Linked DNA regions of Diceros bicornis minor. The protein of the gene in region 1 interacts with the protein of each later gene in a pairwise test. Links are inferred from orthologs where the notes say so. Each region holds a gene or a part of one and is shown on either strand. Other genes may lie near its edges. The genes, in order: DTX3, USP2 and UBE2L6.

The links.
Region 2: the proteins of DTX3 (region 1) and USP2 interact in binary tests that used the Homo sapiens proteins (3 or more experiments, as listed by UniProt). The link is inferred for Diceros bicornis minor from reciprocal best matches to the Homo sapiens genes DTX3 and USP2.
Region 3: the proteins of DTX3 (region 1) and UBE2L6 interact in binary tests that used the Homo sapiens proteins (3 or more experiments, as listed by UniProt). The link is inferred for Diceros bicornis minor from reciprocal best matches to the Homo sapiens genes DTX3 and UBE2L6.

The regions. Positions count from the first base shown.
Region 1 is NC_080756.1:11,379,221-11,390,220, reverse strand, and holds the start of DTX3 (probable E3 ubiquitin-protein ligase DTX3), read left to right. Parts: upstream 1-5,942; 5' UTR 5,943-7,038; intron 7,039-7,740; 5' UTR 7,741-7,914; intron 7,915-8,372; 5' UTR 8,373-8,437; intron 8,438-8,628; 5' UTR 8,629-8,676; coding exon 8,677-8,705; intron 8,706-9,053; coding exon of another isoform or gene 9,054-9,072; coding exon 9,073-9,802; intron 9,803-10,997; coding exon 10,998-11,000. Other genes in the region: PIP4K2C (phosphatidylinositol 5-phosphate 4-kinase type-2 gamma), read left to right, coding at 1,464-1,610, 1,797-1,835, 2,425-2,538, 2,918-3,185, 3,354-3,457, 3,652-3,732. UniProt on the Homo sapiens protein: Regulator of Notch signaling, a signaling pathway involved in cell-cell communications that regulates a broad spectrum of cell-fate determinations.
Region 2 is NC_080746.1:17,642,730-17,653,021, forward strand, and holds the start of USP2 (ubiquitin carboxyl-terminal hydrolase 2), read left to right. Parts: upstream 1-5,535; 5' UTR 5,536-5,635; intron 5,636-6,173; exon of another isoform or gene 6,174-6,725; intron 6,726-10,292. UniProt on the Homo sapiens protein: Hydrolase that deubiquitinates polyubiquitinated target proteins such as MDM2, MDM4 and CCND1. Isoform 1 and isoform 4 possess both ubiquitin-specific peptidase and isopeptidase activities.
Region 3 is NC_080770.1:16,363,396-16,373,763, forward strand, and holds the start of UBE2L6 (ubiquitin/ISG15-conjugating enzyme E2 L6), read left to right. Parts: upstream 1-6,135; 5' UTR 6,136-6,204; coding exon 6,205-6,231; intron 6,232-9,423; coding exon 9,424-9,519; intron 9,520-10,368. UniProt on the Homo sapiens protein: Catalyzes the covalent attachment of ubiquitin or ISG15 to other proteins. Functions in the E6/E6-AP-induced ubiquitination of p53/TP53. Promotes ubiquitination and subsequent proteasomal degradation of FLT3.

The DNA.
Region 1 (11,000 bases):
AGATTGTGAAGGGTTTTATAAGCCACGCAAAGAGTTTGGGCTTTATCCTGAAGGCGGTTTGTAGGGGAGTGATATATATGTTACTTAGAAATAACACCAAGCATTTTAGGGAATGGATTGGAGGGGGGAATACTGGGAGTGGAGATACCTGTTAGGAGGTAATTATAATAGTCTAGGTGAGAAGTGACAGGGGCCTGGAGGAGTGATGGCAGTGGAGATCGAAAGGAAGACCTATGGGAGAATTGTGGGAATTAAGGCAAAGGCACCTCCAAATTCCTGGTTAGGGATAACTGGGTACCCATTCACCAACAGTTGGGAAGCAGAAAAAGAAACAGGTTTTTGGAGGAAGACAGTTCTGATTTAGACATGTTGAGTTTGGGGTTTCTGCAGTTCATCCAGGTACAGATGTCCAGCAAGTGGTTGAGGTACAGAGTTCAGGAAAGAGGATGAGACTAGGAGTCTAGATTTGAGAGTTATAGGTCAATAGAAATTAAAGCCACACGAATATAGATAAGATTATTGAAGGGAGGTGTGGGGTGAAATGAAAAGAAGGTTGAGGACAGAATCTTAAGGAGCAAGAAGAGAAAAGAGCCTATAAAGGAGACTCAGAGTAGATGGATGCTCTTCATTATTTATGCCCTACTTCATTCGATACAGGATTTGAGGACAGAGAGGAGGAGGAGCAGAAGAGTGGTATGATGGGAGCGGAGGGTGAAGAGAGTTTTAAGGAGAAATGAGTCAGTAGTATCAAGTGCCACCCAGCTGAAATATGACAATCACCAGATACCCATTGGATTTGGCAACCGAGGGATTTGGGGGAGGGAGGAGCAGAGAGATTTCAGAGGGGAAAGGAGAGTATAAATCTCATTTCACTGATTTGAGGTGTGAATGAGAGATAGGAAGTAGATTGATTGCTGACTAATTTTCTGAGAGGTTGGCTATGAAGAGAAGTAGGCAGCATTACTGAGAGAGAGAGAGAGATGGTAGCATTAAAAGAGGAATTTTGTTTTTAGAATCCAAATTTATAGGCCATCATGCAAACATTTTTACTGTGAGAATCTAGCCCACCAAGAAACATTGGTTCTAGATAAAATCATTTCACTGAAAAGCAGAGGTAATTTCTAATCCTGGTTCTGTGACCACTTGCATACAAAAAGGGTCTAAAAGAAGGATAACACCTACCTTGCCCATCTCAAAGAATGATAAAGATGAAATGAGCGAAGGCACTTTAAAATTTAGAGATATTATACAAATGGAATAAATCAGAGGAGATGTGGATTCAGAAACTGTATGAATAACCAGGGGCATCTTTAGAAACACCCCCCCACCCTTTGACCTTCTTGTAACCTGTCTACTTGAAGTTTTCTGCCCCACTCTGGAATGGTAGTGTTTGAATTCCCATCCCTGGGTTTTGTATATCTGCTGCTCAGCCTCTCCGCATTCCTTCCTCCCTTCCACCCCAGTACATCGTGAAGTGCCATGGCAACACACTGTTGCCCCAGTTCCTGGGCATGTACCGAGTCAGCGTGGACAGCGAAGACAGCTACATGCTGGTGATGCGCAACATGTTTAGCCACCGTCTTCCTGTGCACAGGAAGTATGACCTCAAAGTAAGGAGAGGAGAGCCAGGCCTGAGGGGGAGGCTCCTGATGACCTGAGTGTGGAGAAGGGCCTGGGAGGGCACTGGCTCATTCATTTTAAGGAAAGAAGACTGGGCTTGAGCACGCATCTTAGGAGCTGGATGCTGACTGTTCCTTTAGCCACTTCTGCTGACTTGTCTTTGGGTCTCTCCACAGGGCTCCCTAGTGTCCCGGGAAGCCAGCGATAAGGAAAAGGTGATACTGATTTTAGGTGATAGGGTGAGGGATGGGGGAAGGCAGGTGAAAGGGATCTTCTTAGGATCAAGAGGTAGGGATCAGCAGCTATTTATTCTTATTTTAATCTACTGAAAAAGATGTAAACTTGTACTGATCCAGGGATTGTTTGGAAGGGGCAGGGGGAACAGCTGCTTTGTCACTGGCATGGGTTATTCCATGTGGAAGGTTTGGGGATGGGTGAGGATGCCAGACTCTTAAGAGCAAAATGCCCACCCTCCACCTCCCACTCTGGACTCTCCTATTCAAGCAGCTGTTTTTTCTTAAGAAGAAAGAAAAGTCAGCATGGAGAGTCTTTATTGAAAACTATAAGCAGAAAGTAGTGGGCTGTGACTTGGGGTACAGCTGCAGTGACTGGTCTGGGGAAGCCCCTGGAGGTGAGAACAAACTCTGGGGCAGCACCCCAGTGTGGAGTTGGGTGAGAGGGATCATGAGAGCTCCCTCCCCTAGAGGCCTCTTGAGTTGGAGACAGAGCCCTAGATAGAGCAGGGTCCTCTGGGACCTTGGGGGAAAGGATATATTACCAAGATGTCCCTTTACCTGTTCTCAGGTTAAAGAATTGCCCACCCTTAAGGATATGGACTTTCTCAACAAGAACCAGAAAGTTTACATTGGTGAAGAGGAGAAGAAAGTATTTTTAGAGAAGCTAAAGAGAGATGTGGAGGTAATGACTGGGGTGTTCTGGGAAGGGCTTTGTTTCCTTTTTTGCTCCCCAGAGGTTAGCTCTCTCTCCCATTCACGATATGAGGGAACTCCTCCCCTTCCCTTTATTCTTTGGGCTCTCTGCATGTAGGGGAGTTGGGTATGAGATGTGACACCCCCCTAGAGGGGACCCATGGATGGGGGAACTGGAATGAGCTAAAAGGATGACCTTAGATACCAGGACTTTTAGGTACTAAAGGGCAATGGTATACTCCCAACTCTCTAGTTTTACACTTCCTTTCCCCAGGAGGGCCCCAGAAATTCAGGGGTGGAGGTATAAGGGTGGTACCTGGGAGTGGGGAGGGAGAGCTGGGGTGTCTGATTTGTCAGTGGGGTCTCAGTTCCTAGTGCAGCTGAAGATCATGGACTACAGCCTTCTGCTGGGCATCCACGACATCATTCGGGGCTCTGAACCAGAGGAGGAGGGGCCTGTGCGGGAGGAGGAGTCAGAGGGGGATGGGGACTGTGGCCCGACAGGACCTCCTGCTCTGGTGGGTTCCTATGGCACCTCTCCTGAGGGTATCGGCGGCTACATCCATTCCCATCGGCCCCTGGGTCCTGGAGAGTTTGAATCCTTCATTGATGTCTACGCCATCCGGAGTGCTGAGGGTGAGAGAGATCCTGGAAATTTTAAGAGTGGGGAGGGTTGTCCTTGGCAGACAGAGAGCAGGGTGGTGGGTAGAGAGGCTGGTTAGCTTTTCAGAAGAGATCTGACTGGTTCCTGGGAAGAGGGGATTGGGGCTATACTTGCTTTTCATTGCTGGTCTCTCTCCCCAGGGGCCCCCCAGAAGGAGGTGTATTTCATGGGCCTTATTGACATCCTGACACAGTATGATGCCAAGAAGAAAGCAGCTCATGCAGCCAAAACTGTCAAGCATGGGGTAAGGGTTCCCCAAAGCCTTGCCTTTCCTGTCTTGACTGTTATTTGGGAAGAGAGAGCCTCTTGTGCCAGAGCAATGGGGTGGCAAAAGGATAAAGGGTTGGGTATGGAAACGGTCTGGAGTAGAACAGAGGGCGGGCAGGGGGGAAGGGGCGTGGGGTGGCCTGACACCGTGTTCTATACCTCCTCTCACAGGCTGGGGCAGAGATCTCTACTGTTCATCCTGAGCAGTATGCTAAGCGATTCCTGGATTTTATTACCAACATCTTTGCCTAAGAGACTGCCTGACTCCATGGTGACTGCTGGCAAGGCTTATGTTCAAGGTGGTGGGGTTCTGAGGGGCTTGGGGGAATTGTGGATATTCTGGCCACTACTTCTTCTCTTCCTCCTTTGCTAAATTCAGGCTAAGGCTCCTTGCATCCCCACAACTCCGTCTTGTTGAGCGGGCTCTTCCTGGCCCTCAGAAATACGTCGTCCCTTCTCCCCTTTGTCCAGTTTTCCTCCCTTGCCCTCCCCTCCAACAAGTCTGCTTGCTTCATGAGAGCGTTACTGTTGACTCTCCCAAGTGCCTTGAGATTTGTCAAGTGTCCTGTTGTTTCTATAACATAGGAAGAGCTGGGGAAGGGGGTTGTTTGCCAACTTCAGGACCTGACTGGACAGATGGACCCAGCTCAAGCAACTACTCTGGATGCACTTTGCTGTGTGGGATGAACTAAGAGTATTTGAATTTTGCTGATAACTTTATAGAACTCACTGTGGCATGCTTCCTTCCCAGTGGGCCCTGGGATGGAAGAATTTCAAGATACTACAGATGTGGGTGCTGGCATGTACACATATGATGGGACATGGCCAGTCTTACACACAGGTGGGGTGGAGAGTGGTCAGCAGGCTGGCACCTCATGGAGGTGGGACCTAAGAGGTCTCTTGATTATGCAGGGAATTGGAGAAGGTCTATGTCAAGGATTGACTACTCTCCAGTCTCTTCCCTCACCCCACTTCCACCCCGACTCCTGTACTTCTGGGTGCGGGAGCCCAGAGATGGCCACAGCGTTCCAAAGGTGTTTGATTGACTGTTGCTGCTCTTCACCAGGACCTCATACCCATCTTGGGGCTGGAACCCTTCAGTGGGGGTGCGGCCTGGGATGATGGGCCAGGGGTGTAAGGTTCATTCTCCATGTTAAATTTCCTTTCTTCGTGTCTAGCCATCCCTGTGGTTTTAGTCCTAGCAGAAGGCAATATCACTACCTGGGTCAACCCTGGTCATGTAAAGAGGAAGCCTCAAGTGTGGGAACCTCCTCTGCTCCCTGGAGGTGTGCACCTAGCATACTCCCTTCCCCGACCCCTACTCAAACCGGTTTTCCAGTTGGTTTTGTTATTCTGTTCTCTTCTGTCCTATCTTATACTGCTACTGTGTCTCCCAGGGGACAGATGGCCTTGTTTGTCATCTTCACTCTCAACCCTTAGAGAGGAGTCAGAGCCATAACTCAATCACCCAGCCCCCTCCAAAGAGGGTTGAGTTGATTCGTGATAGTCTCAGAATGTAGAGGACCCTGATGAGCTGAGATAGTGTCCTCCCCTCCCCCCAATGCCTTTGGGGCTAAGGCAGCCATTCTTTTTGCTATCCTCTATCTCCCATGAAGCTTCTACATTTTTTTAAACATAAAGATGGGTATACCAGCAGCTGGCCTGTGGGGATGCAAAGATTCTTCGCTCTATATCTGGCTGGACTGATCTGTCACACAGAAGTCATGAGGTCATAAAGGAGAATTCCTCTCTCCCCTGCATCTTCTACTCCAAAGGAAGTAACGAGGAGTCCCCAGTGAAGGATTGGAGCCCCTATCATACCTTCCTGTCAGAAGCCTGATGGATCTTTTTCATTCCAAGTCTACCTTTCCCCTGTTGAATGCAATAAAACTCCATGACACCAGCAACTGTTGTTCTTTAGAAATGGGTTTTCTGACCGTGTGGCTAATGTATCATGAGCGGTATGGTCTTCATTAGTTGTTTCTGTTTTTCATCTTTTTTGTTTTATTAATAGAAAAGATCTTGTGTATTTACTCCCATTGCTGTCACTATATAGAAAATAAATTATTGAATCCAAATTCCTTCAGAGAACTGCCTCTTGTTCCCCCCCTCTTTTCTGAGGAAGCCTGTGCTTAGGTGTACAGAGACCAGAGGGAGAATTCTCATCTTTAAGTTGTTGGGCCCCTAACTAAGGCTGTGGGTTTCTAGATAGATGGTTGTGAACTTAAAGGTTGCGAGGGCTGTGCATGGGAATGGAAAACTTATTCTCCAACTTTGTGGAAGTTCAGCTATAGGGGGGCCAGGGGGAACTGAGACGAGATGACTCTCTCTTTTCCCCCAGGTCCTGGGCTTGATCACACTCCCATCTCAGTAAAGATGAGTGAGCCTCTCAGCTCAGGCACGCACGCACGCACCACGCACCACGCACCGCAGGCAGCATGCAGGAGCTAAAAGAGATGGAATTCAGTGTTCCCCCAGGCTTCCTGGGGAAGATGTCCTCTGCCTGGAAGGCAGGAAGAGTACATACAGCAAGGTCCTGGGAAAGTGAAGAAGAAAGTGACCAACCCTCCAGCCCAGAGGGGGAGTGAAGAAAGGGGGTGGACAAATAGAGGTTGTTGCCAGTCTAGGAGATCAGTACTGCTTGGGGAGGAGGCCATTTGGCTGGTGGAAAAACCTGGCTTGATGTGACCCCAGGGAAGTGAGTTGGACTGGGGGCGGAGATTGCTCTGATGTGGGAAGCAGAACAGAGCACAGCTTTCTTTTTTTCTGTGAGAGTTTTTAACTATTTCAACCATAGACTTGACCCCACCCCCCCGCCAAGGCATTTAAAAAAAATGTATTCACTCCCTATCCTGCACCAGCCTCAATATCCCTGTTTGTGGAAAGAGAAAAATCAGAGGCGCTCACCAATAGCCATCTGGGAACAGGTTGTTGGGGTCACAGAAGGTAACAATCTAGGTAAAGGCAAGAGATGAGGGAGGGGATTGAAATGGTTTAGTCCTGGGGTTTATCTTTTAGAACCAATGCTATTCTTTTTACTGTGATTCTTCTTCCCATCCCATATTCTTCTTCAAAGGCCCTTCCAGCATAAGGATCACAAAAAAATTGCCCCTCTTCCCCATCTACCTAAACCAACACTCCTCACCCACCCATCCACCACCAGCTCCCAGCAGCTGCCACGCAGCTGGCTGGGAAAAAGGGAGAGGGTTCCTGCCGGGAGGGGAAGGGAGAAGAGTGGCGTCTCTGAGGGATTTAACCTCCTACCCTCGGTTCCAGGACGCCACCCCCTCCTCCAAAGACTGGGACGGCGCCTCCATTTTTGTTTTGGGGCGGAAGGGCAGGGGCTGGTGGAAAGAAGAGGTCAAAAGGAAACGGTGGTTATCAACCGAGAGGGGGGAAGAGGGTGCCGTCCTCCCTCGTTCCCTTCCCTTCAGTCTGCACCCCCTGCAAACTGCCCCCACCTTCTCAGGGTCTCCCCCCTCCTTGTTGCTAAGGCCCAGACCGTCATCCCAGCAACAGCCTCAGTCATGTGACCGGCAATGGCGGCGCTGACGAGAGGTAGGTGAGCCTGGCGACCCCCACACCCACCGCGCGCCCCCCGGGCCCGGCTCGCACCCCCCGCGCGCCCTCCCGCTCCCCCTGCGCCCCCTCCTCCGCTTCCTTCCCCCGCGCGCGGCGCCCGACTCCCCCACGCCCGGCCGATCCTCTTTCTATCACCCTCCAGCCTTGGCCTCCATTTGGGGGTTCTGGGGACCGCGATCGGCCGACATGCACCCATGAGGGGGCTCCGGGAGCTCCGGCGAGAGGGCGATGTGGGGAGTTGGTTCCGGGTCGGGTCTTGCAGGACGTCGTGGGGGGAGGGGTGCAGCTGCCTCGATTGATGCCCCCCGGGACCCTTGCCCTTCCCGGCTGCCCCTCTGCAGGCCTCTCTCTGGAGGGAGGGACTGACTCCGTGTCCGGCCTGGGTTGCCCCAGAGGAATCAGAGACCCAGCATAAACTGTGGCCCCGCCTCCCTTTTCCGTGCCGGCAGGACTTGGAGCTAAGGACACCTAGCTCCTGGGTTCCGTCTGATGGGGAGGGGCGTGTTCCACCTGGACAGACAGTATGAACCGAAGCTCTCGGGGTCCAGTTTCACTCTCTAAATCTCGAGGTGCATCTGGCCTTGAGGGAACTAGGGTGGAGGCACAAACGGAAATCCGCTCCCCTTTGGATCAGTCAAGGAATTGAGGTCACACTAATGGCCCCTCTTTCTATTTGAGCTGCATTTGGAGGTGGTGTAGGGACAGCTCTGTAGCTGAACGTGGCCAGACTCAGGGGAAACATCAGGCTCCTCCAGCCGAGTCCCTGAGGGAGCCCCACCCCTCCCTAAATGCGGGCTAGATTGCTGACCGGCTTGCACTTCGCCCTCCGTGCGCTGGGTTTATAAGGCGAGGGTGAGAACTTCGTTATTGCAGGGGCTGCTGCCACTTTGTTCACATTCCAAACAGACTTCCGCAGAAGGGACTGGGTTAGCTCTCAAGGAAGGCTCCCTAGGGGCTGAATTATTTGGGAATGTGGAGCAGGGCGAGGAGTTGGGGAGCATAGGAGATATTCTTGTCCATGTGATCTGAGGGAGGTGGCAAGAAAGACCTCCATCTGCGTGGGTCTTTCCCTTCCTGACTTATCTTATCTGCACCCAGGCTTTCTGGAGATCCTCAGAGCTGGGGAAGAAAAGAGGAAAGTTAGCATGTTCAAGTTCCTTCTTTAGCAACTTGGGGAGTGGCTGGGGAGGGAATTTTGCAGGAAAGAAGGAGAGGAAATGGAAGAGGAGTTTTTGTTTTGTGTCTGGACTGGCTGGGGAAAATGTTAACCTTTGTCATCATAACCCTTTACCTTCCTCCCTTCCCCCCAGTCCTGGTCAGCCGAGTGTGGAAATAGAGGGATTTCTGCTGCTGTTTCCGTCCATGGGCTTTCCAGGTATCTACCTCCCAAGAGAACCTCAATTTTCACCTTTAAATTGGTTTCCTCCATTCCATGTTCCAAGTAATCCCATTCCCACTAACTGACACCCAGGTTCCCATCTCTGTGCGGTGGGCTGTTGGGTAGGGGCATGTGGGATGGGGGGAAGGGGTTTCTCACTTTCCTTCCTTTTCCTTTCCACCCACCAGGTCACACAACCTACAAGTAGGGAGCAGGGACACAGAGGGAGAGCCTGCATGCCAATTCTAAGCTCTTCAGGATCAAAGTGAGCAAAAAGGAGGTCAAAAAGTCTCCCTCCCCTTGAAAGAACCCGGTTTTCACTCAGAGGGGGGAGGGGCAGATCGTTTCTGTGATCTTGGGAGGAGTGTAAGGAGAACCAAGACTGATGCTTGGCCTAGATGATAGTAACAAAGTTATAGAAACTTTCTTGCTTGCTCTTCAGTGGGTGCTGGGGTTTGAAAGATGAGAGGAGATAGAAAATGAACTAGAGGGAGGAGTTGGGACTATGAGAGAGTAGAGGTAATACAGGTTTGGAAAGGAACCTGAAGTAGGAGGCACTGACATTTGTCAAATGGGGACCCCCCACCCTGAGTCCCTTTCACCCTGGGGGCAGTGTCGTTCGTCCTGTCCAGAATGGCAGCCTGTGGAGGCACCTGCAAGAACAAAGTGACTGTCTCCAAGCCTGTGTGGGACTTCCTGAGCAAGGAGACCCCAGCCCGACTGGCCCGGCTTCGCGAGGAGCACCGTGTGTCCATCCTCATAGATGGCGAGACTTCTGACATCTATGTTCTCCAGCTTTCCCCACAGGGCCCCCCCCCGGCCCCTCCCAATGGGCTCTACCTGGCCCGGAAGGCTCTCAAGGGGCTTCTAAAAGAGGCAGAGAAAGAGCTGAAGAAAGCTCAGAGGCAGGGGGAGCTTATGGGCTGCCTGGCGTTGGGGGGTGGGGGGGAGCACCCCGAGCTGCACCGCCCAGGCCCACCTCCTCTCCGAGCAGCCCCGCTCCTGCCCCCAGGGGCACGGGGACTCCCCCCACCTCCACCTCCCTTGCCCCCTCCTCTTCCTCCCCGCCTTCGGGAAGAGGCAGAAGAGCAGGAGAGCACTTGCCCCATCTGTCTGGGGGAGATCCAGAACGCCAAGACCTTGGAGAAGTGCCGGCACTCGTTCTGTGAGGGCTGTATCACCCGGGCCCTGCAGGTGAAGAAGGCCTGCCCCATGTGCGGGCGCTTCTACGGGCAGCTGGTGGGCAACCAGCCCCAGAATGGGCGGATGCTGGTCTCTAAGGACGCCACACTCCTACTGCCCAGCTATGAGAAGTACGGCACCATCGTCATCCAGTACGTCTTCCCGCCCGGTGTCCAGGGGGTAAGAAGACTCCAGCCTGCCCTTACCCTTCGGTTTTCCCCAGGCTCGTTCTGTGACCTGAGAAAACTGGGTGAGGGTGAGTGAGTGTTAGATGGGATACAGTCTTGCTGTCTCCCAGCATGCCTTCCCACTCAGTGCCCTGGAGCTAGGACATCCCCTTGAGGCCCAGCTTCTCCATCCCCATGACCCCAAGGCGCACGTGAAAATCAGGTATGAGAGAAAGGAGTTGAATACTGTGTCCTTCGTGAACTTGCATGTCGACAGACATTCTTGGCAGAGGTGAATTCTGTGGAGATGGCGGCTCAGGTGCAGGCAGGCACAGCGGGAAGGGATCTAACCCTCCTAACAGAGCTGGGAGTGTTACTTCGTTCCAGATTTATGAGAGAGGAAAACCTTGATGACAGTGGAAGGTTAAAACAGGAGTGCTGGGGCCAGTGGTGCAAGCAGTTGAGTGCGCACGCTCTGCTTTGGTGGCCCGGGGTTCGCAGGTTCGGATCCCGGGTGCGCACTGGAGCACCACTTATCAAGCTATGCTGTGGTGGCGTCCCATGTAAAGTGGAGGAAGATGGGCACAGATGTTAGCTCAGGGCCAACCTTTCTCAGCAAAAACAAAGGAGGATTGGCATCAGATGTTAGCTCAGGGCTGATCTTCCTCACACACGCACACACAAAAATAAAAAAAACCAGGAGTGGTCGAGAGCCCACAGGTATCTTCCTGCTTGAGAAAGTAATTTCCAGGTCTGGTTTTCAGAGGGATGAGGAAGCTCAGAAGAAGGGTAATAGAAAAATGGAACAGGTTAGACACTGGAAGAAGCATTGGGAGTGTTGTCAGGTGGAGAAGGGAAGGCTGAAAGATAAAGTATTGTCTTCACATTTCTGCTGAGTTACCTGGAGAGTAAGGACCAGCTACCTTCCATCACTTCTGAGAATCCATTTGTTGCTGAACTGAGACTTGAGGGATCGAGACAGCAGAAAGAACCTCTTAACAATAAGGATTTTGTCCAGAAACAAGCTCCTGCTGCCCAGACCCCAGAGACTCTCCTTCCCTGAAGGGGTGTCAGCCTGTGGCTGCCCTGTCAGCATTAGCTGGGGGTACACAGAGAGAAGGCTGGCCAGGGCGACCTTCCATTGGCGTCATAGGCCTTAAGATGTCCCGCTGCTCACTGCCCACTTTGCTTCTTCCCCCTCCTTCCAGGCT
Region 2 (10,292 bases), on another chromosome or scaffold:
AGTGGTTAAGTTCAGCGCACTCTGCTTCAGTGGCCCTGGGTTCACAGGTGGGTCCCAGGTGCAGACCTACACCACTCATCAGCCATGCTGTGGCAGCACCCCACATACAAAATAAAGGAAGACTGGCACAGATGTTAGCTCAGGGTGAATCTTCCTCAAGCAAAAAGAGGAAGATTGGCAACGGATGTTAGCTCAGGGCATATCTTCCTCACACACACACAAAAAAGATATTGTCCCCTCTAGATGTAGTGAACATGGTGAGACGGTATTCTTAAATATTATTCTTATTGGTTTCCCTTTACTCCCACAGCCCCATTTTAAGCAGCCAAGCTTTTGTGTTTATGCCTCAGTGAAAGGATGTGACAGAAAAAAACAGGGGAAAAAATGGTAAGCCACATCTGGCTTTTGAATTTCACTTGCCTAGGCCCTTAATAAAACAGAAAAGATTCGCAGCCTGGACAAAAGATGTGGAGGAAATATCTTGGGTGAAGCCAGGCCTCCCATTGGCATTACCACCAGCAGACAAGAGCCAGAGGAAAAGCAATAAGTATATAGATGTTGGTGGGTTCTGTCCTCAGGGACCTGAGCACAGAAAGACAGCAAAACCCCAAAGAGGTTTTAGAGATCTGATGGCAGTGGGGCCCCACCCCTCCTATCTTGGGTAGATCCTCAGGAAGGAAACAAGGCCCTAGAAAGAGGAAACGACCGCAGAGTGTAGTCTATTCTAGAGACGGCTGGAACCTTGGACAGTGTCACTTTCTCAAGCTATGCCAGGGCCCAGAAGCAGCAGAATGATTCTCATGCATCCAAGAGTAACCTAGAGGTAGTAGAGAGACACCAGACCTAAAGAGACCACCCAGCAGGAACTAGGCAGTAGACATCTCAGTGGACACTTGGGTGGCCATGTAATAACAAGGGCCACTTCCTCCAGTGCTATAGCAAAAATATATACATGAGACACCCTCCCGGAATTTAGGCAATCCCTGGAGAAAGGAGGGGCAATCCCATCATTTGACTGAAACTAAGTGTCCACTACTCCAGCAGAATAGAGGCTGGCTCCAAATAGAAATGTAGTTATATTACAGAAAAACAATGTTGTGTTTCCTGCATATCTGAGTTTGCAGACTAAGATAACACCTCTGTAAGAATTAAAGGAGCGGAGAAGTTGGAAACTAGCAAATTTCTGGCTAGCAAATGGGATAGATGTAGGGAATAAAGGAAGGGGAGCAAACAATGGAATATGATGAGTTTAAGGTTTAGACAGGTTGAGGTTGAGATGCTGATGGGACATCCAGGGGGATGTCAGGAGGCAGGTGGATAATTAGGACTGGTCCTCAGGAGTGAAGTCTACCTGAAAATATAGATTTCAGCATCATCAGCACATACAAGCAGCTGATGGATAAATAGTGCATCAGAGCAATATTCTTACATACTTACTACATGCCAGGCATTGTTGAAAGCTTTTCATGCCTATTAATTCATTTAATCCTCAAATCAACTCAATGAGGCAGATATTACTACTATCCTCATTTTTTTTTTAACATATGAAGAAACAGACATAAATGTTTCAGGCCTCATGCAGCTAGTAACCAGAGGAATCAGACGTTATCCCAGGAAATTGACAATCTGCACGTATAAACAACCACCGGGCTATAAGCTATACTAGAAATAGAGGATGAAGGAACCCATCAGAGGAAAAGGAGGATGAGAAGAAGCTAGCAGAAGGAAAACCAGAAAAGCATCATGTCACAAAACCTAAAGGAGGAGACGACTTCAGGAGGAAATGGTTGGAGGTATCAAGTCTGCAGGAAGTCAAGTAATTGATTATAACTAAAAAGGCCCATTCGAGTTAGCAAGCAGGAGATCAGTAAGGAGGCTTCCTGACGTGTGAGAGGTGGAAGACACGGAGTGTGCACAGACCAGGAGCTGAGAGGTAGAAGACAGGGGGATGCTGCATAGACCGGGAGGTGGGGAAATACAGTGTTTCCAGCTCTTCCAGGAGGACTCTGAAGAGGAGAGAGATAGAACTTGAGTTAATGATTTTCGCTTTTGAAAAGGGAAGAATTTGGAGACTATTATATGTTAAAGGGAAAGTCAGCAGAAAATCAAAGTTTAAAAGATACAGGACTCTAAACCTGTGACAGTAACTGTGAACACGATGAGAAAGAATGCTGAATGGAGGTACTCTCAATTCATGATTTCTTACCGCAAATGGGCCCTTGATGCTGCCTGACGACCCTACTGCACTTCCACAATCCATTCACTCTCCCACTCCCTAGCACAGTGGTTCTCAAAGGGCCATCCCAGACCAGCAGCTGCCTCACCACCAGGAAACTTGTTCAAAATGCACATTCTCAGGCCCACCCCAGACCTGCTGAGTCAGACACTCTGGGTGGGGCTTTACCAGGCTCTCTAGGTGATTCTGATACAAACTCAAGTTTGAGAACCACTGCCCTGGATGACTAGTTCATAACTCCTCCTCTCTCTTCAATTTCCAACCCTTCCTGCTTCATCCTCACTTTCAGCTGATCTTGCCTTCTAATTCACCGAGAGAAAAGAAGCCGTTAGGAGAGAGTCTCCACCAGCTTCCACCACATCCATCCACCGCACATCCACCCCACATCCATCCATCTGGGCATCTGTGCCCAGATAGTCTGCCTTCTCTCTTTTTCTTTGGATGACCACTTTGTGCCTCAAACCAAAGCCAGGCCCTCACTCTGTGCTAGATCCCCTCCCCTCACCTCATCAAGGACATTGCTCCGGCAGTTCGCCTCTCTCTCCCGCATCATCAATTCTCACTCTCTACTGGCTCTTTCTCATCAGCATACAAACATATAGTTATTTTTCGTTTAAAAAACTCTTCGGGGCCAGCTGGGTGGCGTAGCGGTTAAGTTGATGCACTCCACTTCAGCAGCCTGGGGTTCACAGGTTCGGATCCCTATGCATCACTTAGCAAGCCATGCTGTGGTAGGCATCCCACATATAAAATAGAGGAGGATTGGCACAGATGTTAGCTCAGGGCCAATCTTCCTCACCAAAAAAGAAAAAAAACCAACTTTCTTGACCTCACTTCTCCTTTTAGCTCCCACCCAATCTCTCTCCTTCCTTTACCACAAAACTCCAAAGAGTTGTCTATATTGTGTCCATCCTTCTCCTCCTATTCTTTCTGGAACCTATCCCCAATCAGACTTTCACCTCCATGACTCCAGGAAAACCATTCTTGCCAAGGTCACCAACAACCTTCTAAATCAATTCTCAGACTCATCTTACTTAACCTATATGCTGCATTTGACAGAACTATCTTTCTCTTTTCCTTGGCAGGTTTCCTTCTCTAGTTTCCAGCATACCACCATCTCCTGGATTTTTTTTCCTCTACTTCACTGGCCAGTCCTCAGTCTCTTCAATGGTTCCTACTCATTTCTAAAACCATTTTCTGTTGGACAGCTCCAGGATTCAGTCCTTGCACATCTCTTCTATTTAAACTTGCTCCCTTGGTGATCTCTTCTAACCACATGGCTTTAAATAACATCCATATGCTGATGACTCTCAATTTTATATCTCCAACCCAGACCTTGCCAAACTTGTACATCCAACCACTTTCTTGGCATCCTGACATGCCTAACAGACACCTCAACTTAATATGTATTAAACTAAGCTCCTGATCCCCCTCACCCAAAAGAAACCTGCTCCTTCCACAGCTTACACCTTCTCAGTTAGTGTTTAGGCCAAAAATTCCTCCCTTTCTCTCAAATACCTAATCCATCAGAAAACCCTGTTAGCTCTACATTCAAAATACACCCAGAATGCAACCACTTCTCACTTGTCCTGCCACCACACCAACCCAGGCCGCCATCATCTTTCACCAAATGATTGCAATGACCTTCTAAATGGTCTCCTGCTTCTACTCTGGCTGTCTTCAGATCTCTTCTTCATACAGTAGATAAAGGAATCTGGTAAAACAAAAGTCAGATCCATATCCTTCCTCTGCTCAAAATCTTCCAATGGCTCCCATTACAGAGTAAATGCCCAAGTCATCACATTGGCCTTAGGGCCCTACAAGGTGCGGTCCCTCCCTTCTCTCTTTGATCTCATCTCCCACGCTCTCTCTCTCTCTTCACTCCAGCCACAGTGACCTTCTTGTTCTTATTCAAAAGTGGCAAATACACTCAGGACCTTTGCATTTATTGTTTCCTCTGCCTAGAACATTCTTTCTGCAGATATCCAGATGACTCACTCCCTCCCCTCCTTCAGGTCACTCAAACGTCACCTTCTCATTGAGGTCATCTCTGACAACACCTTACACACTCTATAACCCCCTTCCTGCTTTCTTTGCCTCCACAACTCTTCCTGCCATCTAACATACTCTATATTTTACTTATTTGGCATTGTGCTTCTGCTACTACTAGGATGTAAGCACCTTCAAGGCAAGGATTGTGCCTGTTTTGTTCACCGATGTATCCCCAATGCCTAGAAGAGTACGTGGCACAGTCAATAGCCATGTGTAAAATGTGATGGAATAAGGACCCTAAGGAAACGAAGGGTTAAGATTCAGAATGGAATTCGTCTTGGCCAAGAAGAAAGACACCTCTTTCAGTGCTCCTGGAGCAGGGATAAGAATGGATTCAGATACGTTTGTCGGCAGAAATTTAAATATTTCCCTCCTGATTGCCTCTAGCTTCTCTGGGAACTAGAAGACAAGGAGGGACTTGAGAGTGGTAATGGACAGAAATACCAGCGGAGGAGAATAGGAGAGGGAGGTAAAGACACTTGGAAGGATCCATGGTCCAGGTGAAACTGAAAACCTGCATTTGCCTTGACACCAATCTGCCTGGCAGTGCAGTTTTCTTTGCCACCATGGGGGGAGAGGGGAAGGCTATATATTAAGAATAGGAGCAGCAAAAATTTAAGTTTTGTCTCGGCTTTTTCTCGAAAGACCGAAGAGAATTCCTTCCACTCAGTACCTCCGTTTACCCACGCAGGGAGGATTGGTAAACCAATCACTAGTCTCATGTTAGTAAAATGAGCACAGAGTGTCCTCAAGAGTAGAGAAAAAGAGATGAGGCTGAACAACTAAGACCTCTCCCAGCCGCGTGGGAAGGAACCGGAACATTTAGCCTTCCCTAAAAACTGGAAGTGGATATACATGCCCCGGGGCTCAAATTCTGTGCCTTTTCCCGATGACCCCTCCTCTTTCCCAATACTTTCCAGCTGCCCCGCAGCGTTACGTTCAGGTCCACTTCTTTTGGTGCCCCACCCCCTCCAAATTCACATTCTTTTCCTCCACGTGGTTCTCTGTATATATCGGTCGCCTGGGAGACCCTAGCCGGGCGGGGCTCTAATTACGCCACAATAGGAACAAGCCAATAGCCGTGACGCGTCCCAGGCACGCGAGACGTGGGGTGTGGCTTTGCCGGCCCAGGCGCAATGAAGCGGCTGCCCGCTGGGTGGCGCCGATTTCCCGGGGAGGTCCCTTCTGGGGCCCCGGCGGAGGTGGGTTAGAGGCGGGCAGGAGCCGAGGCCAGGGAGCCCTTTGCGTCAGCTGCTGCTCACTGCACAGCGCCAGCACCAGCCGGGACTCACCCGCAGCTCCATGCTTGTGCCCGGCTCGACTCGTCCATCCTCGGAGAAGAGGCAGGTACGTGCCACCTGTCAGAGACTGGGGAGGGGGGTGCGGAGGTCGGTGCCGTTTGAGGCTGAGAAACTGAGGTGTCAACGACAGCCTGGGCAGCATGGGCACTAGAAATGTAGGGCGAGTGCCAGCTGCGCGGAGGAGCTCCAGCTGTGGATGCCAGTTGTGTGTGGGGGCCTGCCAGCTGACAGCTCAGGGCGCCAGGAAGAGCCATCTGTGTGCTGATCAGTGTGTTCTAGAGAAAGGCTGCTTCCGCAGGTCCAGGTCTCTGTGCCCTGTGGCTTGAGTGACACCTGGACACTGACAACCCTCTCCCCACGTGGGCGTGCAGCTCGCTTACCCCCTCCTCTTAAAGCTCCCCCGGGGGGCTGTCCGTGGTCAGTTTGCCAAAGGGGTGGGGGTGGAGGTGGGGGCAGCAGTTAAGTGGAAGGGGAGATTTTCCACCAATCCCAACCCAGTAAGAGGCATCTTTGAAATTCTCACCAATCCCAAACCAGAAGCAGGCACCGGTGCTCCAAGGCAAGTAACTTATACTTAACAGCCAAGAGGAGCCCTGGCGCAACGCACTCTAGCTACCTCTGAGGACTGAACATCTCCCTCCCCATCTGGCTGCTTTTAGAATGGGGCTGAGTTGGAGATTGCGGTGATGCTCACCTCCGCAGGCATGGGCATGAGAAGGTCCCTCAAGTCCGACCCGTCGGTGAAGTGGAGGAAAGGAGAGCTGGTTGGGCTGGGGCTGGGGCATCCCCCACTCCTCTGATGCTACAGATGCATACCAAACCGGGGTCAGAATGAGGACTGGAATGAGGGCCAGGAAGAGGGCGTCCTATGAAGTGCATCATCAGAACCCGAGCTGAGTCAGTAGCCTCCGCTGAGACAGGGTGGAGGCACCATCCTGGGTCCTCCCAGTCCTCGGGGAGAGCCATCAGGAAACAGGAGAAACAGACTGGGAGCAGACAGGAGCACCGAGGCCCAAGAGGTTAAGAATCCTGCTCCTTCCGCTGTGACCCTGCCCAGCCCGGCTCCGTGGCCCTGGAATCCTGTGCACTCCTACAGGTAGAGTGGAACCACCCCAGGGCAGCTCGGTCTTCTCCTGGTAAGCTGGGGGAAGCTGCACTTGCCAAATGGGCCTGGACCTTGTCTGCTGGGTGGACTGGACACCTGGGAATATAGCAAGCCTCGTTTGCCCTTGTCCCTTATGGGACATGGACCAGCTCAGAAACCATGGGGCTGTTCTCTGGCATTAGAACAGAGCACTCCCCAGGGGTGGCCTGGAGGCCCATTTCTCCCCAGGAAGGCTCACCTGGTAGGTGCTATTACAAATACTACCACTAATTATAATAATAAGTAGGAGTATTCAATGTAATAATAATTATTATTTATTGAACTCTTACTATGTGTCAGGAAATTTACAAATATTATTTTATTTAATCCTCACAACTGTGAGGTAGTATAGCATTATTATTATATTTTTTCCTCCTGTTTTACAGATTAAATAAAAGGTTCAGACAGCTTAAGTGCCTTGCCCACTGTCTCAGAGCCAATAAAAGAGAAAGAACTAGAATACAAGCCCAGGCCTAAAAGTCCATTTTCAGAGTTTGAACTCAAAACCTGAGAGCTGGTCCTGCCTGCTTCTCACTATCTGTGCCCTTGAACAAGCTGCTTTCCATCTCCAGGTCTTCTCTATTTCAAAATTAAAGGAGTTGGACCAGCACTGAGGCTTTTTCCTCTTCTCTAATTCTGTGACTGACACCTCTTTCTCCATATTTTTGCCTCAATTCCACCCCCATCCCTCTACCCTCTTTCCAGTTGTTTCCCCTTGAATCTCCCTTCTGTTCCACTTCAAAATGCCTCCCTTCAAAGAGTCCTCGTAGGATCTCCTTGCCTGGTACTGGCTCATCAGGGCTGCCCCTCAAGCACTGGAGGGACTGCCACTGCCCCTTTAATTCTCCCCCGGCTTGGAATGCAAGTGAGTTGAGCTAGCCATCTCTGTGAGGTCAGATAAGATACTATATATATCAGAGTCGGTAACCTGAGCTCCGGATTACCCAGCCCGAGTCAGACTCCATCCAGCCTCTGGGCTCTCCACTGCGCTCCCTGCCCTGCTGGGGAAGGAGAAGCCCCAGATCCCGTCCAGTGCCCCCGGACACAGGTCAGTAGCTGCCCCTTTAGTATCTGAGCCTCACAGGGTGGCTGTCCAGAGGGCCTTGGACTGTCTGTTAGGGGGAGCCCTGTCTGTTTGGGGCAGCAGGTGAAAAGCCACCCCCACTGGGCCTGGTGGGTGCTGTGGGCAAGAGGGAAGGCTCAGAGGCCCAAGAACAGAGGAAAGATGAGGCACTAGAGGAGAGGGAGAAAGACTGGGGCTCTCCCCTGGGGAGGAGGTACCGGGAGAGTGCCTTTCTACCAGGAGAAGTGTGTGGAAAAGAGCATTTAAGGATACCCATACCGCCCGGGGGCCCATTTCTTTGCCTTTTCTTGGAAGTGCAGAGATGCCCACCCTCTCCCAACCCCAAATCATGAGACACTATCCAGAGCCCACTCGCTTCTTCTCTACAGTCAAGATTCTTGTTCTAAATTTCCAGTCTATTTATCTTACCGCTTTGCCCCTCTCCCAGCCCTTGGACAACTACTCGGAGCAAGACAGACAGAGATGGACCCAAAATCCCTGGGATGACCCCCTGCCAAGGCATGCAAGACGATTAGGCAGTAACCTGGTGGATCACTGGGTGCCAGCCCCTGAGACACAGAGCTGCTAGTGAGGCCCCTGGGGGCCTGAGAGGAGTACGCAGAGCTCCTAGGTGGATGTGAGCACAAGTGTCCCGCACCCCAATCCTCCACTCTACCTGCATCCTCCACACCTGCCAGGACATCCTTCTACCCAGGAGTTGACACCTGTGCCCAGGCAGTGCGAGCAGCCAGGAGCGAGGGCCAGAGAGTATAGATGAAGGGAGGCAGGGCCTCTCCCTCAGCCCACTTCACCCTTCAAGGTCAGCTTATCAGCAGTGCCTCATTCCGATGTTGTTAGCAAGCAGCTTTGGGAAGCTTTGAGGTCACCACTGTGGAGGTTCCCAAGCACCTGGCAAGACTGGCTGGGACTCCCCACTCACCTGTCCTGGACACCTAGGTAGGAGGTTAGGAACTGAACCCTGTTAAGGCGTGCCTCTGAAACCCAGCTAGAGGCCTTTTATCCAGGCAGCCGCAAGGCCACAGAAGCCGGCATACCTTCACCCCAGAGAGCAGAGCGGATCTGGGCAGAGAGGGGCCATGCAGGCTGCTGGGATGTGGGGCATTACCGATCCCTTACCCTGGGGGCCAGGAGGGCCTGGGATTCCTGGGAAGCAAGTCCCTCCCCTGGCAGGGCAGGTTAGGGCACTCTCCACGTGAGTGACAGGAAATGACAGTGGCTGACACTAGGGGGTTGGCTGCCCCAAGGGGACAGGGTTCATTTTAACCCCTGCCTCACCTAGCCTGGGTGCCTTAGGGAGTGGCCCAAGCTGGAGCAAGGGTAGGAGGCTGGAGTCCATGTCCATAACAAGCCTTGGGCCAAGGGCCCTGGCTGGGCCTAGATGCTGATGCCAAGGGACACGCAGGAGCTTGGCACTCTGGGTGAAATGGAGGCCTCCTGGTCCATCTCGCGGCAGATCAGTATTGTACTGGGGCTCAGGTTGCACTTGGCTTCGCTTTCATTTGCCTGCAGTGGAAACTCGGAAGGGCTGTCCCTGTGGGAGTCTGTACCTGCTGTGCTGTTGCCTAGACAGTGGAAGCCTGGGTCCCCCACCCCACACCAGCTCTGGGAGAGGCCAAGGAAGTGTGAAGTGGGGGGCTTGGCTTCAGGGTGGCTGTTAGTGGACAGAGCACAAGTCCCAGGCCAGCTGTGCCACTGCTCCCAGCATGGCCTTGGGAAACCCACATCACTTCCACAAACTCTGGTTTCCTCATCTGCGAACGCGCATCGTTACAGCACCAACTGCTTAGGGCAAGTGTGAGGATTAAGTGAGTTAATATACGGTGTCCCAGAAGTCTTAGTGCAGTTTAAATCACTTGAGAAATATGAATGCTAAACGCTTCATTTAAATATTTCATTATTTAAATATCTTGTCTATTTTTTAAATTTTGAATAAAAATATTATTTCAATTTACTGTAAAAAACTAAATCTTCAAATGATGTTTGTAAGTTTAAGGCAGTTGTTGTTCCAAAAGAAGTGAAGCTTAGAGCCAGCCCTGATGGCCTAGTGGTTCAACTTCGGCACACTCCGCTTCAGCGGCCCGGGTTCAGTTCCCAGGTGCGGAAACACACCACTCGTCTGTAGTTGTGATGCTGTGGTGGCTCACATAGAAGAACTAGAAGGACTTAAAACTGGAATATACAACTATGTACCGGGGCTTTGGGGAGGGGGAAAAAAAGAGAGAAAGAGAGAGAAGAAGATTGGCAACAGATGTTAGCTCAGGACAAATTTTTCCCAGTAAAAAAAAAAAAAAAAGAATTTTAAAGCTTAAAACTGCGCTAAGACTTTGGGGACACCCTGTATGAAGCGCACTTAGAAGATTGCCAGGCATGGTGCTCTTCTGGCTGTCTGAGTGTTGGAGGTGAGCCTGCTGAGGAGAAGGCATGGGAAGCTGCATGGGAAGCACTCAGCATGGGGCCTGGTCCAGAGGTGTTCAA
Region 3 (10,368 bases), on another chromosome or scaffold:
CTCCCATCAAAAGAATTCGTAGATGAGGCTGATGCTGAAGCAATTGAAGGAAGCCTGCGAAGCATTCACTTTGACCAGGCATAGAGATATCTGGGTTCTGCTCCATGACCTGGGCAAGCCATTTCCCCTGTCTGGGCCCCTGCTTTCTCGTCCACACAGCTGGATGAGGCAGAGAGTGGGATGGTGAGACAACACCAGACATTTTCGAAGCTCCCCTCCAGCTCTGGGACTAAGAGGATCTGGGGCAGGCCGGCCCCGTGGCTTGGCGGTTGGGTGTGCGCGCTCCGCTGCTGGCGGCCCGGGTTCGGATCCCGGGCGTGCACTGACGCACCGCTTCTCCGGCCATGCTGAGGCCGTGTCCCACATACAGCAACTAGAAGGATGTGCAGCTATGATATACAACTATCTACTGGGGCTTTGGGGGGGAAAAATAAATAAATAAAAAAAAAAAAAAAGAGGACCTGGGGCTAATTTGAATGTCCTGGGACAGCCACATTCTAGAGGCTGTTCCCTGTTAAGAATAACAACTTATATGTGCACAGTCCTTTGCAAAGTCAAAGTCCTCTGACTACAGCCTCATGAAGCAGACAGGGCAGAAATTCTCATCATCATCTTTAAAGAAGGAACTGAGGCCCAGGTAGACATGGCAGTTAAGACACAGAAAGTCAGCAGTCTGGTTTAAGTTTCAGCTTAGAGACTGGACAGATGTGTGACCTTGGGCCAGTGACCTAGCTTCAGTTTCCCTACCTATAACATGCAGACAATAAAAGAACTGATTTTATAAAGTTAGAGTGAAAGTGAGAACTATGAAACAGATCAATTATGATAATGCATGTCAAACACTTAGCACAAGGACTAAATGTTTATGTCTCCCCTGTAACGCCTAACCCCCTAGTGTGGCTGTATTTGGAGATGGGGCCTCTAAGGAAGTAATTAAGATTAAATGAAATCATAAGGGTGGGGCCCTGATCCAATAGGATTAGTGTCCTTATAAGGAGAGATGTCAGAGAGCTAATGTTCTCTCTCTCTCTCTCTTTCTCTCTCTGCCTGAGTTCACACATCAAGAAAAGGCCACATGAGGACACAGTGAGAAGGCAGCCATCTGGAAGCCAGAAGAGAGCCCTCACCAGAAACTAAATAGGCTGGAACCTTGATCTTGGGCTTCTTGTCTCTGGAACCATGAGGAAATAAATTCCTGTTGTTTAAACCACCTATCCTGTCGTATTTTATTATGGCAACCCTTGGGCCGGTCCCGTGGCTTGGCGGTTGGGTGTGCGCGCTCCGCTGCTGGCAGCCCAGGTTCGGATCCTGGGTGCGCACTTACGCACCGCTTCTCTGGCCATGCTGAGGCCGCGTCCCACATACAGCAACTAGAAGGATGTGCAGCTATGACATACAACTATCTACTGGGGCTTTGGGGGGAAAAATAAATAAATAAATAAATAAAATTATTATGGCAACCCGAGCAGACTAATACAGCCTGGCACATTCAATACAGATTAGCTATTATCGTTGTCATTGTCATTACTGTTATCTCTCTTGTTCAAAGTCCCCCAAGGAACAAGTAAGCTAGTGGCTGAGCCAGGCTGAGGAAGCTGGTTCCTTGACTCTCTAGGCCATCTTCCTGGTCTAGTGGCAGGAATCCCCCTCGCTCCTCTCCTGGGGCTCCTTGTCTCCATGGCTACCTCTGAACCATGCCCTCCACCTCACCCACAAGGGCCGGGCTCACCTTCATTGGGGTGTAGTCTGTGAGGAGAGGTTTGTATATGCGTGTGTGTATGTGTATGTGTGTGTGTGTGTATGTATGTGTGAGACTTGCCCAGGAGAAGGAGGTATGTGAGGCAGACAGGAAGAGGGTGTCCCTTCCTCAATCAAAAGAAGCAGGAAATTCTCTCCTTTGGTTGCCTGAGAACTTCTCTGGGCTGCAGGGCGATAGGGAGGGCTAGGGGAATTCTGAGATTAACCCTCCCAGCCCCAGATAGGAACAAGCCCAGGGAGAGGGCCTGGAGGAAAACAACAGCTCCGTCCTAAACCAGTCCCCCCCTCAAAGACGCTCCAAAGGTCCTTGGAGCCTTCTGAACAATTTGAAACTCTCACCCAGAACTCTGCATTATAAACAGGTGAGGTAACTTTAGTACCTACAAGGTGCCCCTCATGTACACAATCTCATTTTATGCTCACAATAAACAGACAGTAAGTCAAGCCTTGAGGCCTCTTATTTTTGGTATATCATCTTTTAATTTTTTAAAAACATTTTAATTGAGATATAGTTGACATACAACATTATATTAGTTTCAGGTGTACAACATAATTATTTGATATTTGTATATATTGCAAAATGCTCATCACCGTAAGTCTAGTTAACATCTGTCACCATATGTTGTTACAATTTTTTTTTCTTATAAGGAGAACATTTAAAATCTACTCTCTTAGCAACTTTCAAACATCCAATACAGTATTATTAACTATAGTCACCATGTGGTTCATTATACCCCCAGGACTCATTTATTTTTTAACTGGAAGTTTGTACTTTTTGACCCCCTTCACTCATTTCACCTACTCCTCATCCCCTGCCTCTGGCAACAACCAATCTGTTTTCTGTATCTATGAGTTCGTTATTTTTTTTGTTTTTTGGGTTTTTTTTTTTTTAGATTCCACATATAAGTAACTTAGAGGCCTCTCTCCTCCAATCTTTTGTTATACTTACAGATGAATATCTCTCCTACTTAATGGTAAAGACACAGAGTTGGCCTCAGCCCTTCCCGGGGCCCCCAGAGTGCTCAACACAGGGTCTTGCATAAGTAAGCGCTCAGTACATTTTTGGAATGGATGAATAAACACCAATGACTAGATCAGAGAGAATTAAAGAGCTCTATTGAGGAAGATAGTGTTGCCATTGCTCTAAGGGAGCAAACTCAGTAATCTCTCCCTCCAAGCCAGCACATTCGATCCTGGACGGGCACCTGCCATCATTTTAGTATTTATTATTATTATAACTATCACTTATTGTGCAAATAGCAATTCATTACTCCTCACATCCACTATTATTAGCCCCATTTTACAGATGACAAAACAGAAGCACAGACAAGTTAAGTAATTTGCCCAAGTTTATTCAGCCAATAATAGTGGAACTGGGATTTAATCCTGAGTATTTATTTCTTGGATTTATAGATTTCAAAGTTCCTCCACTTCTGTGAGCTTAGCCTCACAGGGGTCCTGGGAAGCAGGTAGAAGCTTCTACGTCCCACCCAAGGCCATGCTGCACTGGGGGGCAGATGTGGAACTAGAATCCGGGTCTCCTTCTGACACACAAAGGTCTGCATTGTGGAAGGACATGGAGACCGCGCATGCAGGCCTCCCAGCTGTGTGAGAGTTTAGGATCCATCCCAGGATGGGGAAGCTGGGCTAAATCCAGGACTCTGGATTCACTTCAGGGATGCAGAGTTTCCGAAGGGAAAGGAAGGAGAACCACAGAGCAGTGGACAGGCTTTGCTCCACACTGTAGAACCACTTTCAGTTTCTGTATACACTGCCACCTCACTTTTGCTCATGCTGTTCCCTCTTCTTGGAACACCCTCACCCCATATTCTTTTTTTTTTCTTTTTCTTTTTGTGAGGAAGATTAGCCCTGAGCTAACATCCATTGCCAATCTTCCTCTTTTTTTTTTTTTTCATGTTTTAATAGTTTTTAACATTGTGAAATTTTGGGTTGTACATTTTTGTTTGTCCTTCACCATATACATGTCTCCCTTCACCCCTTGTGCCCACCCCCCACCCCCATTGCACCTGGTAACCACAATACAGTTTTCTCTGTCCATGTGTTGGTTTATATTCCACACATGAGTGAGATCATACAGTGTTTGTCTTTCTCTTTCTGGCTTCCTTCACTTAACATAATACCCTCCAGGCCCGTCCACGTTGTTGCAAATGAGACGATTTTGTCTTTTTTTATGGCTGAGTAGTATTCCGTTGTATATATATACCACATCTTCTTGATCCAATCGTCAGTTGAGGGACACTTAGGTTGCTTCCACTTCTTGGCTATAGTGAAGAATGCTGCAATGAACATAGGGGTGCATAAGCCTCTTTGGATTATTGATTTCAGCTTCGTTGGATAGATACCCAGTAGTGGGATAGCTGGATCATAGGGCATCTCTATTTTTAATTCTTTGAGGAATTTCCATACCGTTTTCCATAGAGGCTGCACCAGTTTGCACTCCTACCAGCTGTGTATGAGGGTTCCTGTTTCTCCACATCCTCTCCAACATTTGTTGTTTTTTGTCTTGGTGATTATAGCCATTCTAATGGACATGAGGTGATATCTTAGTGTTGTTTTGATTTGCATTTCCCTGCTGATTAATGATGTTGAACACCAATCTTCCTCTTTTTGCTTGAGGGAGATTCAACCTGAGCTAACATCTGTGCCAGTCTTCTTCTATTTTATATATAGGTCACCGCCACAGCACAGCTGACGAGTGGTGTAGGTCCACACCCAGGATCTGAACTTGTGAACCCGGGCCACCGAAGTAGAGTGCACCAAACTTAACCACTAGGCCACGGGGTTGCTCCCCTTATCATGCTTTGCAACTCACTTAGATTTTTATCTCTTCCAGGAAACCTCTGTCCCTCTCTGAGGCAGGATCAAGTTGACCCTCCTCAGGCTCCCAGAGCACCAAATGATTCCTGATAGGCTTGTGCTTACTGCTTTGCATTAAAAACGCAAGGGCTGCATTCTTTCCCTCTGTCCCACCAGTAGGAGAGCTCATCAAGGGCAGGGACCCCACTTTCTCATCGCAGTGTTCCCTAAAGTCAGTGTCTGGCACTCAGTAGTAGATGCTGGTTAACTGAGATGGTTCAGATGCCTCATTCCCTCATCTCTACCTATGTTATGGGATTGGGGACAGTGGCTTATTCATTTCTGGCATGTAGAAGATGCCCGGATAAAGTTTATAGGATTGAATTAAACAGAATTAATCATTCTGCAAATACATCCCACATCTGAGCTGAGAAGTCATTTGGCTCCAAGACACTTAGATAAAAACTACATGAAGTAGTGAGTTCAGAACTCAAAACGTGCTCAAAATACGCTGGTTTCTCTTCTCATTTGGACTGAAAGGAGTAGGGTGAGGAAGATGGCTTCAATCCTCCCAAGGAGACTCATTTTTACTAGCAGATTCTTCCCCAGACGCTGCTCCGTGTTCAGGAGCTGCAATTCCACGGTGGCCTCAGCTTTGGGCTGGCGGAAGGGGTCTCTGTCCCTGGAGAGAGGGGTGGAAATTCCTGCCTATGTGTGCGGGGCACACAGTAGACCTGCAGTTTGTAATGGCCCAGTGGTAAAATAAGGGAAGCTCCCCCACTCAACTGTTTCCCAAATCGTCATATAGTAGGCACTTACTAAATGCTAAGCTTAACCAGGGACTAAATGAAGGGTCGACCGAATCCTCAAAGCAAGAGAGACTGGGCCCAACAGCGCCCCCTTGCGGGGCTCTGCACCAAGCAGCCACCTGGGAGAAAGGTCCTTGCAGTCTCACCACCGAATGCTGGACAGCACAAAGGATCCCAAGCTGCCAGGGGAGGGGTCCTTGGAGGGGAGATAGTCTACCGTGGCCCCCATCCATTTTTAGAGATGGAGCACTGGGCCCAGAGAGGGAAAGTGATTTGTCCAGGGGGCTCCAGGAATTCGTTGAGGGGGCTTAGGGCGGCGGTCTGATGGAGCTGTATTTGCATACCAAGAGTTTTTTATTTATTTAGGGAGAGTGTATATTTGGGGCGCTGTGGGAAAGCTGATGGAGATGGGGGGGCCTCCGGCGGCGGAGCTGGAACTAGAACCCGGATGGGCGGACCCCGGCCCCGCGCCGCGAGCGCTTGCTGCCTGGTGCGCGGCGCCCCCCAGCGGGACGCAGGGATCTGGCACCGCCGCGCGCTCCCGGGCCCGCGGCGGCTCCCGACAAAGAGCGCAAGTTCCGGGGATCGGAGCCCACCGCGCCGGGGCCCAGGCCGGGGCGCAGGCGGATCCTCCCCTCGGCGGCCCCTAGTCCCAGCAGAGGCGGTGGGGGGCAGGACTGTCCGGCTCCCGCGTACGCGCTGGGGGAGCGGGGCGTGGGCGGGGCTCTCGGGGGCGGGGTCCCCCGGGCGGGGCGCGCCGAGTCCGCCGGTCGGGGCACAGTCTGGCTCAAGTCCGCGAAGCCCCACATTCGGTCCCGAGATGTCAGCGAGCAAGCGGGTGGCGAAGGTAACTGCATGTAGGATGCCCCCTTTCTCTTGGCTCCCCTCGCTCTCCCATTCCCTCCTCCCTCCATCCCTCCCCCGGCTCTCCGCTCTCTGAGCGCGTTTATCTGGTACCAGGGCTGGCTGAATCTCTGTCATCCCCGCCCCCTCCCCAGAGGAGTGGGTCTGCGAGAGGCGCCGGAGCTGGAGTTTTGAGGGGTGAGGACACATCAGGCGAGGGTGTCGCTGGCGCCCTGAGCTGTGCTGGGAATGGGGATGAGCCAGCTCCCCCCAAACTGGTTTCAGTTTCATTTCTCCTGCCAGAAACTTGTGGTAACAATTGCGTGCGTCTCAGGTGCGGGAAGGGTTCCTTGGCGTCTTCTTGGAGCCAGGCGCTCTGCTGGGGGTAGTGGTGGGTGGGTTGTGAACTGAAATAACCAGGAAAAGGTCCTTGCCCTGGAGTAGCGCACGCCCCGCCCCATGATTTGGTACCCACATCAGCGTCCCGAGAAGTATGGGATACTGAGTAGGAGTCGGGAGCAAGATTCCCTGGGTATTCTCGGTAGGAAGAGATGCCAAGGCGGTCCTGGAGCTGTCCTGGAGTAGGTGGCATGCATTCATTCGTTCTGCAAATGTTGTCGAATGCCTACTGTGTGCTGGCTCCTGTTCTAGGATTTAGGGAGGCAGAGACGAACAAAAATCCTGCCCTCGGTGAGTTCATTCCAATCAGGGACACAATTTGAAATGAGGTCTGGAAGGATGGGGAGGGGGCGATTTCCCCCAAGAGCGGGGAAAACCCAGGGTGTTTGGAGGGCTGCGGTGCAGCCAGGAGATGAAGATAGACCGGGAAGGGAGGACAATCCTGGTGAAGTGGGTCTGACACCTCCCAGGCTTTGAGTCTCTCAGCAGTGCCCCTTCAATGTACGGAGTTGGGGGCAGGCCTGAAGGGGGTGAAGGAGGGCCTGCTACGCTCAGCCTCTGAGAAGAACATGATCTCGGATTGGGGCACCCAGAGCAGGCTCAGCTCAGAAGAACTGAAATCTGAAGGTTGGCAGCAAAATGGGGCAGAGAGTCTTTCCAGCCAAGTGGGAAGGAGCTGGGAGCCAGTATTTGTTGCATTGGCACCATTAAGTGCCAGGCAATTTACATTAGTTATTTCATCGAATTCTCTCAGCAACTCTGTGAGATAAGTCATGTATGCCCATTTTACAGATGAGGAAGTGGAGGCTCAGAGAGAATAACTTGCTTGTCCAGGGTCACCCAGTTGGGAGTGATGGGGCTGGGATTTGAGCCCAGGTGGATGGGGCTCCCATCTGCAGTTTCTTTCAGTGAGCTCTGTACTTTCGTTTTCTGTTCTCTTGAGTCAGATGATTTCCTAACAGGCCACAGGAAAGAGCCGTGTCCCCTAGCTCGGGTTTCAACATCATCAGGCTTGGGGAAAGTTTTGGCAGAACTCATCCATAACAGATAAAGTCCAAGTGTTCCTAGTTATAGTGAAGTCGGGAAAATGTGCATTCCAGAGCCTCTCTGTTCAACCTGGGGCTTCCTTCTTGCCAAAGAGTCACAGATGATGCTAGAACTATGACTTATGGTAGCAGATACTTCTAGTGTGGGGTAAAAGGTAAATGAGAGGTCAGACACTCTGGGCAGAAGGTGCAAGAAGCAGTTTGTTGTATGAACAGAGATGGAGTATGGGCTGAGGGATAGGAAATGGGGGACAGGCATGTGTTTCTATGTTGGGGGGCAGATAAAGGTCAGACAGGACACAGTGTTAAAGGACTCCTCTCCAGCTGTGGGCTGGAGCTCTCTCTCTGCCTTTGTTTGCACTAGGGTTTCTCAACCTTGTCACTATTGACGTTTTGGGCCAGATAATTTTTTGTAGGATGTTTGTCAGCCTCTCTGGCCTCTACCTACCAGAGACTAGTAGCACTTCCCCCATTTGTTACAACCCAAAATGGTTCTAGATATTGCCAAATGCCCTGAGAGTGGGGGTAAAATAACCCCTGATTGAGAACCACTGGTTTACACTCATCTGGTGTTCCAGAGGAATATGACCTGCCCTTGAGTGTCTTTTTATCTGTTATTGGTCTTTTCCAAAAAAAATGGTCTGTTGCCCCACAGGATGGACCCCAAAAGGGGGAGAGGGGTTCCTTGGTCAAATACATTTGAGAAGTACTGCATGCTGTGGGCTCACATCTTGGAGGTTCATGATACACAACAGTATACTAAAGGCTTTGTGAAGTCCTGCAGTAAAGAAATCCGTTTAGCTTAGTGTTTCCCGATGTACTTGACTGTGGAACCCTTTTTCTGTAATAATTATTAATCTTGCATGGGACACACTGTACACATTTGCTCTAACTGGGCCTATGCCTTGGTACCTCTTCCCTTCTCTGCACCATGGGCTCCTATTTATTCTGCATGGCTCAGCTCACAGTGTCACCCTCTGCAAAGCCTTCCTGCTCCCCTCTCCTCTCCTTCCCTGTTATGTATCCCCACATTATTCACATAATCACATTCATGTTGCTTCCATTACTCCAATGAAGTTCTGGAGAGTTGGGCCCTGTCTTAGTCAAGTGTCAACAGAGGATACTCAGGAAAGGGCTGTCGGGAGAATTCAGTGATGTCCAGGTGACTGGGCCACATTTCTGGGAAGGCGAGTCACTCCTTGTCCCCTTGTTTCTCTGCGGAGTTCTCCTCTGCCATGGGCTGCCTGAGTCATTTCCCTGCCCCAGCCCTGGTCTGGAGGAGATTGACAGGGATGGGGTGATGTCTTTGCTGCCCACACTGCTTTGAGCACTGTAAGGACATGTCATGCTGGATACTCAGCGGAGGCTACGGAAGGAAGGGAGAGAGGGAATTAGGAACTTGTGACTCCTCGGGTGAGGACAAGAGGATGGAGGTTAAGTACCTCAGTTTCAGGAGAAAAGGCTCCTAAGAGAATTTACTCCCAAGTTGTAAAATCTGGATCAGGGATCTGCATCTTCCCTCCACCTGCTACGTACAGAGCTGGGGTGAGGCTAACATCGGATAATTCACTTAAAGCGTTTGGCACCGTGTCTACACATCCTAAGCACTCAGTAAATGGGGGCTCTGACTTTGTTGGCTTCTCTCCCTAGGGTGTCCCCTTTGGGACTTGGGACAGCTTGCTGCTGGGACGGGGGAGGAGGCTGAGGTAGGGGAGAGAGGGCCCACTGTCCACTGTCTGTGCCCCCCGCAGGAGCTGGAGGATCTTCAGAAGAACCTTCCCCGGTACCTGCAGAACCTGTTCAGCGATGCCGCCGACATCCTGGTGTGGCACGCACTCCTCCTGCCCGTGAGTGTCCCCAGGGATTGTGGCCTCAGATGGGGGTGACTCAGGCCAGAGGCCTGGGCAGGGAGGGTTAGGACTGGGCAAGAATTTTCCCTGCGTTAGAGACATTTTTCTTTACTGGAGGTTATCATGGTAGAGGGGGTCTCTCTCTGGATCCTTGCTTCTGAGGTCGAGGCAGACTGATGAAGAGGCTAAAAGACGTTTGGACTTGGTAGGAGACCCCTTCCTCAAACCAGTAGCCACCAAACCCACCACAGAAGCTTCAGCAAACAGCATTAAAAAAAAAAAAGAGAAGGAAAAAAGATCCCTTGGACCTTTGTCAAGGGGTAGGAATAAACTTCCTGTTTCCCACAGTTGGTAGAATTTGCTTCCTTAGATCTAAAATATAGTTTGTTTTCTTTTAAGATCATATTTCAGAAAATTATTGTTCCATATGACAACATGGATAACTTGTCTCTACTATTCTGATTTTTCTCTATTATTAGATATCATCTTGATGAAATCTCCCTTTGAAAACTGTATTCCAAAGGACTGTCAGAGGGCAAGATCTTTATTTTGTCATCTAATTACTAGTGACAGAAGATATTTTCTTTGAGAAATTCATCTATACGCCTTTGGTTACTTGGAGATAAAAATTAAAATAGTTCAGCTTTTTCTTAACTCTTTGGAATATAAAGGAAACAATTTGTTTGATTATTTAGGATTTTTACTGACAACAGAGTGGCCTGGGTTGTGCCATATTCTCTGTCAACTGACCTGTAGTCCAGAAAAATGGAGAAAAGCCCTTGAGTCAGGTCAACATTTGAACCTCTGTCATGTCCTGTGGGCTGCTGGGTTGAAGCAATCCATGTA